Neurospora crassa OR74A: one gene and its partners. The protein of the gene in region 1 purifies or fractionates together with the protein of each later gene. This does not show direct contact. Links are inferred from orthologs where the notes say so. Each region holds a gene or a part of one and is shown on either strand. Other genes may lie near its edges. The genes, in order: NCU16028, cyt-26 and NCU02293.

Region 1 (2,633 bases):
TAATATTTTGTAATGTAACTGTAATGTAACTTAATATAATGTAACTGTAATGTAATATAATGTACAGTAATGTAACTGTAATGTAATGTTACATTACATGTAATGTAATGTAATGTATTGTAATGTAATCTTTATATGTAATGTACTAAAGATTACGATAGCTAGCCAGTTATATACTGGCTAGCTATCGTATGATTATTGTAGCCATTAGGGATAGCCTAATGGCTACTTGATTATCATTAGATATACTGCAACAGCAGTAAATACACTGTTGTCGGGAGCCTCAGTGGTATTTGCTGCTTTGCGGTGGTGGAATTGAAGAGGTTACTAGATTCTAGTTAATTTTTGATTCCACCATTGTATATATAATGATACAAGTAGCTAAAATAATAGGAACAGGGCTAGCTACCACAGGTTTAATCGGAGCTGGTATAGGTATTGGAGTTGTATTTGGCTCATTAATAATAGGGGTTTCAAGAAACCCTTCGTTAAAAAGTCAATTATTTGCATATGCAATTTTAGGTTTTGCTTTCTCGGAAGCGACAGGATTATTTGCTTTGATGATGGCTTTTTTACTTCTTTATGTTGCATAGTAATGATAGAGATTAGGAATAAAATGATGTATGGCTGCTTAAATAAAAAATATGGCTGCTCTTCCTGCTTAGCTAGCTAGCTAGCTTCGAGGGACCCCACGAATACGGCCCACACACGAAGGTGTGTGGGGTATTCGTGGGGGGCCCCCTCCTACTTCCTGCCTACGAAGTCTAGGCAGGCAGGAAGCAGCCTTAATAATTTAGCTAGCCATAATATCGCGACCACCCTCCTCCACTCAACCCCCCCCTTGGCGGCCCCCATCTTTCCCCCGCCCTGCAATACTGCAGGGGGGCATAATTAAATGTGATGGGGACCTTGAGCAAAGGAGGGGGTACGCGAGTGGAGGAGGGTGGTACTTTTTTGGGAGGGAAGCTGAGCGAAGCTGAGCGAAGCTGAGCGAAGTGAGCGAAGTGTGCGAAGCTGAGCGAAGGTAATTCATTTTTTTGGGCCCCCGCCCCGAAGGGGGCGGGGTCCCCCGAAAAAACAAAGGACGCTAGCGTAGCCTAACCTTATGAGCAGCAGGCTATAAAAACCCATTAGGCACAGGGTATACTTCGTTAGTGGATAAGAATTAGCCTAGCCTTAATATACAATACAGTTTAATGTTATATTTAAATTCTATATTTTATGAAAAGATATAATATATTTATTATTATGGTTTAATATTCAATATAGAATATTCTATTTCTTTTTTTATGGGATTATTATTTAATAATTTAATTATGAATTTTGATGCTCCAAGCCCATGAGGTATCTATTTTCAAGATAGTGCTACTCCTCAGATGGAAGGTTTAGTTGAATTACATGACAATATTATGTACTATCTGGTGGTAATACTATTTGGTGTAGGATGAATCTTATTATCTATAATAAGAAATTATATCAGTACAAAATCACCAATTTCACATAAATATTTAAATCACGGTACATTAATCGAATTAATATGAACTATTACTCCAGCAGTAATATTAATATTAATTGCTTTCCCTTCATTTAAGTTGCTATATTTAATGGATGAAGTTAGTGATCCTTCAATGTCAGTTTTAGCAGAGGGGCACCAATGATATTGAAGTTACCAATATCCTGATTTCTTAGATTCAAATGATGAATTTATAGAATTTGATTCATATATAGTACCGGAATCCGATTTGGAAGAAGGAGCACTAAGAATGTTAGAGGTGGATAATAGAGTTATCCTTCCTGAACTAACACACGTTAGATTTATCATCACTGCAGGTGATGTGATACATAGCTTCGCTGTTCCATCTTTAGGTGTTAAATGTGATGCTTATCCTGGGAGATTAAATCAAGTATCTGTTTTTATTAACAGAGAAGGAGTATTCTATGGTCAATGCTCTGAAATCTGTGGTATATTACACAGTTCTATGCCTATAGTTATAGAGTCAGTATCTCTAGAAAAATTCCTTACTTGATTAGAAGAACAGTAAGACGATAAAATAGTTTTTGGCTAAATAAAGGAACTCGGGGGACCCCACGAATACGGCCCACACACGAAGGTGTGTGGGGTATTCGTGGGGCCCTATGTATTTGAGTATGAAGCCATCTAGTGGTTATCTCTCCCCCCCTCCCCGCAGGTTTGCGGGGGGGGAGCGAGGGGGTAGCGATAAAAAGTTTCTAATATGAAGAGGATGACTTATGGAATTAACTCCACTCCCCCCCCCCTTAAGGGGGGGAGTGGAGTGGAACGGAATTAACTCCACTCGCTCCCCCCCCCGCAGGTTTGCGGGGGGGAGCGAGTGGAGTGGAACATCCGGGAGGTGGTGGGTTATATTATAAACAATATTCGGGGGACCCCGCCCCCTTCGGGGGCGGGGGGCCCATTAACTGGAAAGCACCCCCCCCTTAAGGGGGGTGCTTTTAATTATTATTATTTTTATAGGTTAATTAGGTTTAAAAGGCTACCCGCCCCCCCCCCTGCAGTACTGCAGGGCGGGGAAGGGTTAAAATAACAAGCAAGTTCCTGAAGTCTGGCGTAGCCTAGCGGAAGGAACCTTGCTTAAATCCAAAAACCTTTTAAA
Region 2 (3,754 bases), on another chromosome or scaffold:
TCCCTCAAGGAATGGGCACAATCCATCATCATTTCCCATTCTTCCATTCCACGCATGAGACTCGGTTCCCAAAGTTTGCGGACTTCAACTGGTGGGGCGAAACCCGAGGTAAGCAGCGAGGCGAGGTAGTCTCGGTCTTGAGAGGAAGAGGAGAAGTCGACGTTGAAGTCATTGAGGATGTCATTGGCGAGGTCTGGTGACATGACATCGTTATATGGGAGGCGAGAGGCCTGTGATTGGGGTGGTGATAGTTTTGATGATGACATTTTGCTGGTTGTCAGTGGATGGAGAGTTTTGGATTTACATATGTGGTGTCCAGCAATCGTAGAATCAAAATGTGATTGAAAACTTCACGATGAGTTTGGGGTCAAGATGTTGTTGCTTGTCAGTGAGTGAATCGAAAAGGGAGGGGAGGGGGCCAAGACTTTGTTTGGAAGGCAAATCAAATGCCAAGCCAGGGGCATCCTCTGTGGCACTTCGTGCTGACATTTACCGTGATTCGGTGAAAGAGAGATTGCCAATCGAGAAATGTCAAGGCTTTCGAAGCTCATACTATATCTCAACTACTCTCGAAGTTAAAGGCGTACATGATGATGTAGCTGACAGGGAAATGGCCTTTACTCTTTGGCATCCGTTCAAATGCCCATGTCGTAATATCCGTATCCTGATCCACTCACATGCAAGTTCAGCTTGACCGTCATACCCATACCATCATACCCTGTCAGACACAGGCAATAACGTCTATGTTGTATTTGAGACCAGAAAATTTGATTTATACACTCTACGACCATCTTCATGTTCAACCCACACGCCCGCACATCTCCGCATTGCCCAGAGTTACCGATCCCGCCCCTGCCCATTCCTTTTCGTTTTGCTCTTTCTGACCGATGCGCAAGAGGAACATGGGGGAGCAAAATTTGGGCAGCAATAGTATATGATACATACACAGAAAAAGACAAGGAAAATCACGCACGTCTCACAACGGTTATTGTGTGAATGTCATGACTTTGCCCTTTGTTGTGGCAATGCTAAATTAGTGGCGGGTGGTGGACTCCTTGGGGGGATCGTAGACGATCTTCCTCGACTTGAGCCAAGCCCACTTGTAACGCTTAACATAGACGCTCAAGGCGAAGAGCACAGAGGTGACAACCAGAACCTTCATACCCATGCGCTTGCGGTCGTCCATCTCGGGCTCAGCAGCCCAGTTGAGGAACTCAACAACATCCTTGGCCATCTGGGAGGTGGAGGCGGGGGTGCCATCCTCGTAGTCGACGAGGCCGTCGTAGAGGACACGGGCCATGGCGATACCGGTACCGGGGAAGTAGGGGTTGAAGTTAAGGCCGGCGCCAACGGAAGCGCCAGCGGGAGGCTCATCGGGATAGCCGGTAAGGAGGGAGAAGATGTAGTCGCAGCCACCGTGGCGGGCCTTGACGATCAAGCTGAGATCGGGAGGAAGGGCACCGTTGTTGGCGAAACGGGCGGCCTCATCGTTCTTGTAGGGATCGGGGAGGTAGTCGGAAAGCTTGCCGGGGCGCTTCTCGATCTCGCCCTGGTCGTTGGGCTCGGTGTCGTACTCGTTCTCTTCGGCAAGAGCCTTGGCCTCATCGACGGTCAAGATGGTGCCGACAAGAGCGCGGTAGGGGACTCTGCTGAGAGAGTGGCACGAGGCGCAGACCTCACGGTACACCTGGAAACCTCTGCGAAGACTGCAGTCGGGCAAAAACAAAGTCGTGAGCCAGATAGTCATTTTGGATTGGAGGCGCGGCCTCGAATGGGCTGGATAGGAGTGGTTGCTTACGCTTGGTGATCAAAGGTCTTGAGCCACTGTTCGTGGACCCAGGGGTACTTGGTAGCATGGAGACTGCGTCAACGGTAAGCTTCGAGTCACTCCATGCCCAGATTCATGCCTATAGTCGAGCTCGGTCGTATATGCCTCAGAACCCATGAGGCAGACCTCGGTCCAGCGGCTAGAGCGGGGCGGATGGTCGGATCGATCGTAGGGGACTCACCCTTCCTCAGCCGGAGTCATGGCGGAAGCGAATCCATAGAGATGGTAGTACCAGGCGATCGAGCCGGCGGCGACGGCGGTGGCAGCGGCGGCAGCAATGTTCAGGCGGAGGGGAGACTCGGCAGCGGCGCCGGAGCTCTGGGTGGAAGCCGAACGCTGCCGGGCACGTCCGTTAGCTTTCCTCGAGGAGCGCGAGAGTGTGAAGGAGACAAGACAGGATGGCTCGGCCGGGGCGGGGATGGTCGGGCAACTGGGCCCCGGACCGGGAGCTCGCAGTAGGTTGACGGTAGCTCAAGCCGGCCCAGACCCAGCCATTCGAGTGGCGATGCGGCCGAGATCTGTTGTTTGGAGGGGCAGAGAGACGAGGACGAAAGAGTTGTCGAAGCAATCGAGACGAACCTTGGCAAATTTGAAGGCGCCATTTTTCGCGCTGGCAAAGGTGCGCGTCGAGCGCAGGCAGGTCCTCGCCAGCATGGTGGGCAAGCTGAGCGAAGCTTTAGGAAAGTATCGCGGGTTCGGGGGACAAGGCCAATTGGGTTGGCAATGTCGGTGACAGTATCAGGTCTGGCGGGCGGGAGGTCGAGCAGGTCCGTCCAGGTGCAAGGTCGGTCGATTCCCTTCACGTAGCGTCGTAGGTAGGACCGTAGGTTTCTTGAATTTCGGGAATCTTAGGAACACTCGCCATCTGATTGGCTGGGCCAATCACCGTGCAGCCTTTCGAGCTTTTACACTTCCCCTCGGCCCCGGCCGATGGATTTTCCGCACTAATTTACCTCATTCTGCCCGCGGGCCTCAGCGCTTTTTGAGACTACCTTGCTCAGTAAGGTAGACACCTCAGCGAGCCCAATCCCGACCTGCAAGTGGAAGTTTCACAAGCGACTAATCCAACTGGGCACAGCTGGGAGCTGGGCATCAGGATCAGGATCAGCATCAGTATCAGCATCAGCATCAGCCAGCATCGCCCCATGGAAATCATAAATGTCCAAGCTCTCGCTGCCCGCGGTCCGCCCCTTCTGTCTTTTCAGCTCACACGGCGACCCAGCGTGACCGGACCTAGCCGAGGAAAAGCTGCCAAGGAAAGCCAGGTTTGAAGCTATACACCACACATACATACCTATGCCGTGGCCCCGTAATCGCAGGTGAAGCTCAGATTTGGTCACCACGGCTATCACGCTTCACACCAACACATCACCACAATTGCATCCCCAAAAAAAAAGGCAACGCAAAACTGTAGTCGAACATGGACGATCCTAGAGATTATCATCGAAAGAAATCCAAGGTAATTGTTTCGTTTTGAGATCCAGACCCGCTCCATCTTTTACCATCTTCTATTGTCTCGACGGCCATTTCCCAAGATGCATTAATACACGCTCTTTATCAAAACACACCACATGCAGAAATGTCAGCTTTTGTGTTCCCATCCCCGCGCCAGCATATATTCGGCATCCCTCACTTAGGGTTCGTGAACCCCTATCAAATGACCCATAAACCATAAAGCAAACAAGACCAGGAATTGGCATGACTTAGGCAGCGGCGTTCTTGCTCAGGACTTCTCTCCTCTTTTTGACGGCCTGCGCAAGCGTGTCGAGAGTGGCGACAGTGTCCTCCCAGCCAATACAAGCATCAGTGATACTGACACCGTACTTGAGGCCGCACTTGCCTTCCTCGGGCACCTTCTGGTTACCTGTACGTTGTGTTAGCGAACAGCTTCAAATTTAGACGGTCATATGCCCCCAATAAAAAAAA
Region 3 (3,754 bases), on another chromosome or scaffold:
CACTGCCGATGCCGCTGCCACTGGCGCCAGACATGGTGACCATTTCGTAATCCCCTCCTCCCAGATCGCCACGCGATCCCCGCTTGGTTCTCCCTCCTCCTCTTCCTCCTCCTCCTGTGATGAAGCCCTGTTCTTCGTCTCCTTGCCCTGCTCCTCCATCCCCGTTGGTAAAGTTGTTGTTGGTGGTGCTGTTCGTGGTGTTTCCTCCGCTGCCGCCGCCATGTCCACCAAAAGCAATAGGCTGCAGCTCTCTGTATCGACACCCCCATGACCCGAGCAAGAAGGAAGCCAGGGACGAAATGGCCATGGTCAACCACCAGGCTGTGTGGCGGGGTAAGGTGTGGTCGGGCGTGGTGTAGAGAGTGACGATGACGAGGTGGATGAAGTGCGTGGTGAGGGCAAAGTCGAGGATGAGCTTGGAGCGTTGGACGATGGCTGTTAGGGAGAGGGGTCTGTTTTTGGTGATACGTTAGCGAGGTTGATAGATCATCAAAGAAACAAAGGTAAGAGGGAGACAGAGGGAGAGTACTTACAGCACCAACCCGCCGACCAAACACCAGATAAAGCCGTTCAACCACCCCTGTGTGTTATCCCCCCTTACCGCCTCCCACCCGAACACCAAGTCCAGCGTGAAAGGATTTCCAGCTACGGCCGCCGTGAAGAACATGAGCACCAGGGCGGCAGTGTAGTAGATTGCTTGTAGCGCGGCGATCTGGCTGAGGATCTTGAGGGGCGGAAGCTCGGTTAGGGCGCCGGAGCGCGGGGGACGGCGGCGGCGGGGCATTGTGGTTGATGATGTTTCAAGCTGTATGTGATGCCAGATTCGGCTGAATGGTAGCTATGATTGTTCTCGATGGCGTTTCTATTCAGCGCAGTAATTGAACATGGAGGTTGGAACTTGGAGGTTGTCTGGGTAATTCGAGGGTGGTGTTCGAAGGGAGCTAGGTCGAAGGGGACCCTCGTTCGGTGTGAGGATTCCTGGGTGATTCGAGCATGTGGTTATGCAACAGCTCTTTGTTGCTGCTGTATCCTCCCTTGGTTCCTCGTAATGATTCTCCCCTAGAAACCATAAATGGAAAAGACTATGGAAAGATAGTATGTCAAAGTTTAGGTTTGCGACCACGGACGAAAGCCATCGTGTCACAACACAAGACACTCATCACAATGCAGCTGACAATGTCGTCTCCATTCAGTCCACACACGGGCAGGGGCTGACCCTGGTCCCTGCGTCCGCCCCGTCCGCTGCAAGATTACAGGGCACGTGCAGGGTTATCAATGGGGTGGAATCCAAATTTACCTACCAAAAGTCCGGGGGTTAGTGGTGGTGGGAGGGAAGAAGGAAGGTACCTGTATGTACTTCTGTACCTTCCATTTTGACCACCCACCTTGGATGGAAGCTCAGCTCGGGCAGCCAAGGAGCCCAGCACAAGTTGCCTGCCGCACAAACCTAAGCTCCAACTGAGGTACCTACCCGGTACATACCAAACTACTGATAGCGGGCCAAGAGCTCGATAAGCTTCCCATCCCAGAAGCTTGGCTCGGGAATCATTCGCGAATTCGATCCCAAGTTTCCCGTTTCCCCGTTTTCCAACCTACGTCCATATGTAACGGGAACCACTGCATACATCGCAATCAACACCTCGCTCCCAAATTCCACCCTTTGGTCCCGGCCCTTTCCATCTAAACCCAACTGAATCCTCCGTCTCCCGCCGTCCCGATACCGCCGGCTCCCTAAGAACACACCAAATCCCGACTCCAAAGCCGAAACGACCGCAGCACCGCAGCATTTCACAATGGTCCTAGGTCTCTTTGAACAATCCGAAGCCGACAAGCGCGCGGCCGAGGTGCGCGCGGGCACCGTTGCGCCTACACGCTCCGAGCGCCAAAAGTGCTGGATGGCGCGCGACGGCTACTTTGCTTGCCTGGACCGGAACAACATCATTGACGCCCTCAAGGACGAGAAGGCGGCCGCGAAGGCGTGCAAGGCCGAGAGCGCCGAGTTTGAGAAGGATTGCGCTGCTCAGTGGGTGAGTAGCATTTTTCGACCTATGTTTGTTTTTATCGATGCTTTTGGGGGACCACTTCTGAGCTGGATGATGGGGCTGGATGTGGTGGGGTTGGAGGTTTTGGGGAGGAGATGGGCAGGAGGAATAGGAAGAGGAGGATGAGAAAGAGGTATCTGGGACAGGCAATCGACAAGGAACAGCACTGCAAGCAGAGAATCTCCAACGCCCAGAAGGAGGGAAGGAAGGGATTCTAGAAAACAATATCAACCCTCCTACAGGAGAGCAAAACGAAAACAGCCAACAGCCAACAGCCAGCCAGCCAGGTCAGGCAACGCAAGTATAGGCATCTCAGACAAGACAGCAGCGCATACTATACACACACGCACACACACACACGCTCTCACCAGGACACACGCCAGCTAACCTCTCATTCTCTCCCATACAACAGGTTACATACTTCAAGAAGTGGCGCGTCCAGGACATTCAAAAGAAGGCTCGCCTAAAGGAGCTCGAGGCCCAGGGCGCCGTCAGGATGGACGTTAACACCGACTTCAAGGCCCGCGAGTAAATCGATGCTCTTCGGTTCATCCGATCCGGAACAATCCAATTCAAATTCGATGTCGTCTCTTAAAAGCGACTGGATGAGAAGACTGGGGGTGGGAGAAAGAGAAAAGAGGAGGGACGGTGTAAAGATAGTGTGTACTTGGTGTATGTACCGTATATATGCATGGGATAAGGCGTTTAAATTTGAGTCGATTGGGTATCTAAGGGGGAAATTCCGGTTTCCAACATTGGTCAAGTCGGGTTGTTTCACTGATATGGCCTGTTGGTTGAACAACGTTATGGTGAAGATGTTGATGGATCCTTTCGACCTAGTGAATGTTGGTTTATAGGAATGTCTAAAAGGGATATCAAGGTGCGTCCCTCCGATATCCAGACACCAACCTTCAATCTGCTTTCCGAGAGACAGCCACACCAGGAGTTCACTAACCAACAGTCAAGTCCTCAGCCGGTCAGGCGCCCATCAGTCTCCTGCCTCCTGGCTCGAATGCCTTGTAGGTGTATGGATAATAGTCTGAGTCGACCCCGAACGCTGCATCACTCCACCAACTACATCCTCGTCCAACTGCACCTCATGCTCGCCACGATCTACCGCGTCATCAGTAACCATGACATAATACCCAGCATGTCCGCAATGCGTGCATTCACAGGTAGACGGTGACGTGTCCGAAGGGTACCCATCACTCGAGTCCCCATCATTTTGGAGAGTGAGGTTGTCACCTCTTCCCTCCTCCGTCTCTGTCCACCCCGGACTTCCCCCGTCCTCCTGTGTACTCTTATCCTCCTCATTCCGACCTCGACCAAAATATTCCCCTTGTTCCCTGAGACATTGGTCCACGCGATTCAGATTCGGCGGCCATGAAAGCCGGGGGGTTTCCGCATTGGCGCCGCCCCCGGGACTCACGTCATCTTCGCGAGCCCCGGTAAACCTTGGGGATTCCAAATCGTAAAGACCGGGAGAACTCGACTGCTTTTCGGAAGGACTCTCATCACCCTCATCATCCTCTTGGTCGCCGTTGTCCCAGGAAGCGTTCCATATTTCTGACAAACGGCGAGACGCCGGTCTCTTCGCGCGAAATAATGATGACCCAAACGGTCCTTGAGCCGTAGGCGTCCCTGTGCCAGGTCGGGTAGCACCCTTACCTACGCCTGTTTGTTGTAGGGCGGGAGAGTTCACGGGCGGAAGG

The links.
Region 2: the proteins of NCU16028 (region 1) and cyt-26 purify together in Saccharomyces cerevisiae (affinity purification with mass spectrometry; 3 studies listed by BioGRID, with this or other methods). This does not show direct contact. The link is inferred for Neurospora crassa OR74A from reciprocal best matches to the Saccharomyces cerevisiae genes COX2 and CYT1.
Region 3: the proteins of NCU16028 (region 1) and NCU02293 purify together in Saccharomyces cerevisiae (affinity purification with western blotting; 3 studies listed by BioGRID, with this or other methods). This does not show direct contact. The link is inferred for Neurospora crassa OR74A from reciprocal best matches to the Saccharomyces cerevisiae genes COX2 and COA6.

The regions. Positions count from the first base shown.
Region 1 is NC_026614.1:58,240-60,872, forward strand, and holds NCU16028 (cytochrome c oxidase subunit 2), read left to right. Parts: upstream 1-1,289; coding exon 1,290-2,042; downstream 2,043-2,633. Other genes in the region: NCU16027 (ATPase subunit 9), read left to right, coding at 369-593. UniProt on the Saccharomyces cerevisiae protein: Component of the cytochrome c oxidase, the last enzyme in the mitochondrial electron transport chain which drives oxidative phosphorylation.
Region 2 is NC_026501.1:4,144,847-4,148,600, forward strand, and holds cyt-26 (cytochrome-26), read right to left. Parts: upstream 2,717-3,754; 5' UTR 2,483-2,716; coding exon 2,408-2,482; intron 2,165-2,407; coding exon 2,010-2,164; intron 1,862-2,009; coding exon 1,799-1,861; intron 1,707-1,798; coding exon 1,034-1,706; 3' UTR 422-1,033; downstream 1-421. Other genes in the region: mbp3 (methylated-DNA-binding protein3), read right to left, coding at 1-266; aro-7 (DAHP synthase), read right to left, coding at 3,532-3,692. UniProt on the Saccharomyces cerevisiae protein: Component of the ubiquinol-cytochrome c oxidoreductase, a multisubunit transmembrane complex that is part of the mitochondrial electron transport chain which drives oxidative phosphorylation.
Region 3 is NC_026507.1:3,027,599-3,031,352, forward strand, and holds NCU02293 (hypothetical protein), read left to right. Parts: upstream 1-1,488; 5' UTR 1,489-1,793; coding exon 1,794-2,027; intron 2,028-2,454; coding exon 2,455-2,574; 3' UTR 2,575-2,922; intron 2,923-3,015; 3' UTR 3,016-3,030; downstream 3,031-3,754. Other genes in the region: NCU02294 (hypothetical protein), read right to left, coding at 1-452, 534-784; NCU02292 (hypothetical protein), read right to left, coding at 3,031-3,754. UniProt on the Saccharomyces cerevisiae protein: Involved in the maturation of the mitochondrial respiratory chain complex IV subunit MT-CO2/COX2. Thereby, may regulate early steps of complex IV assembly.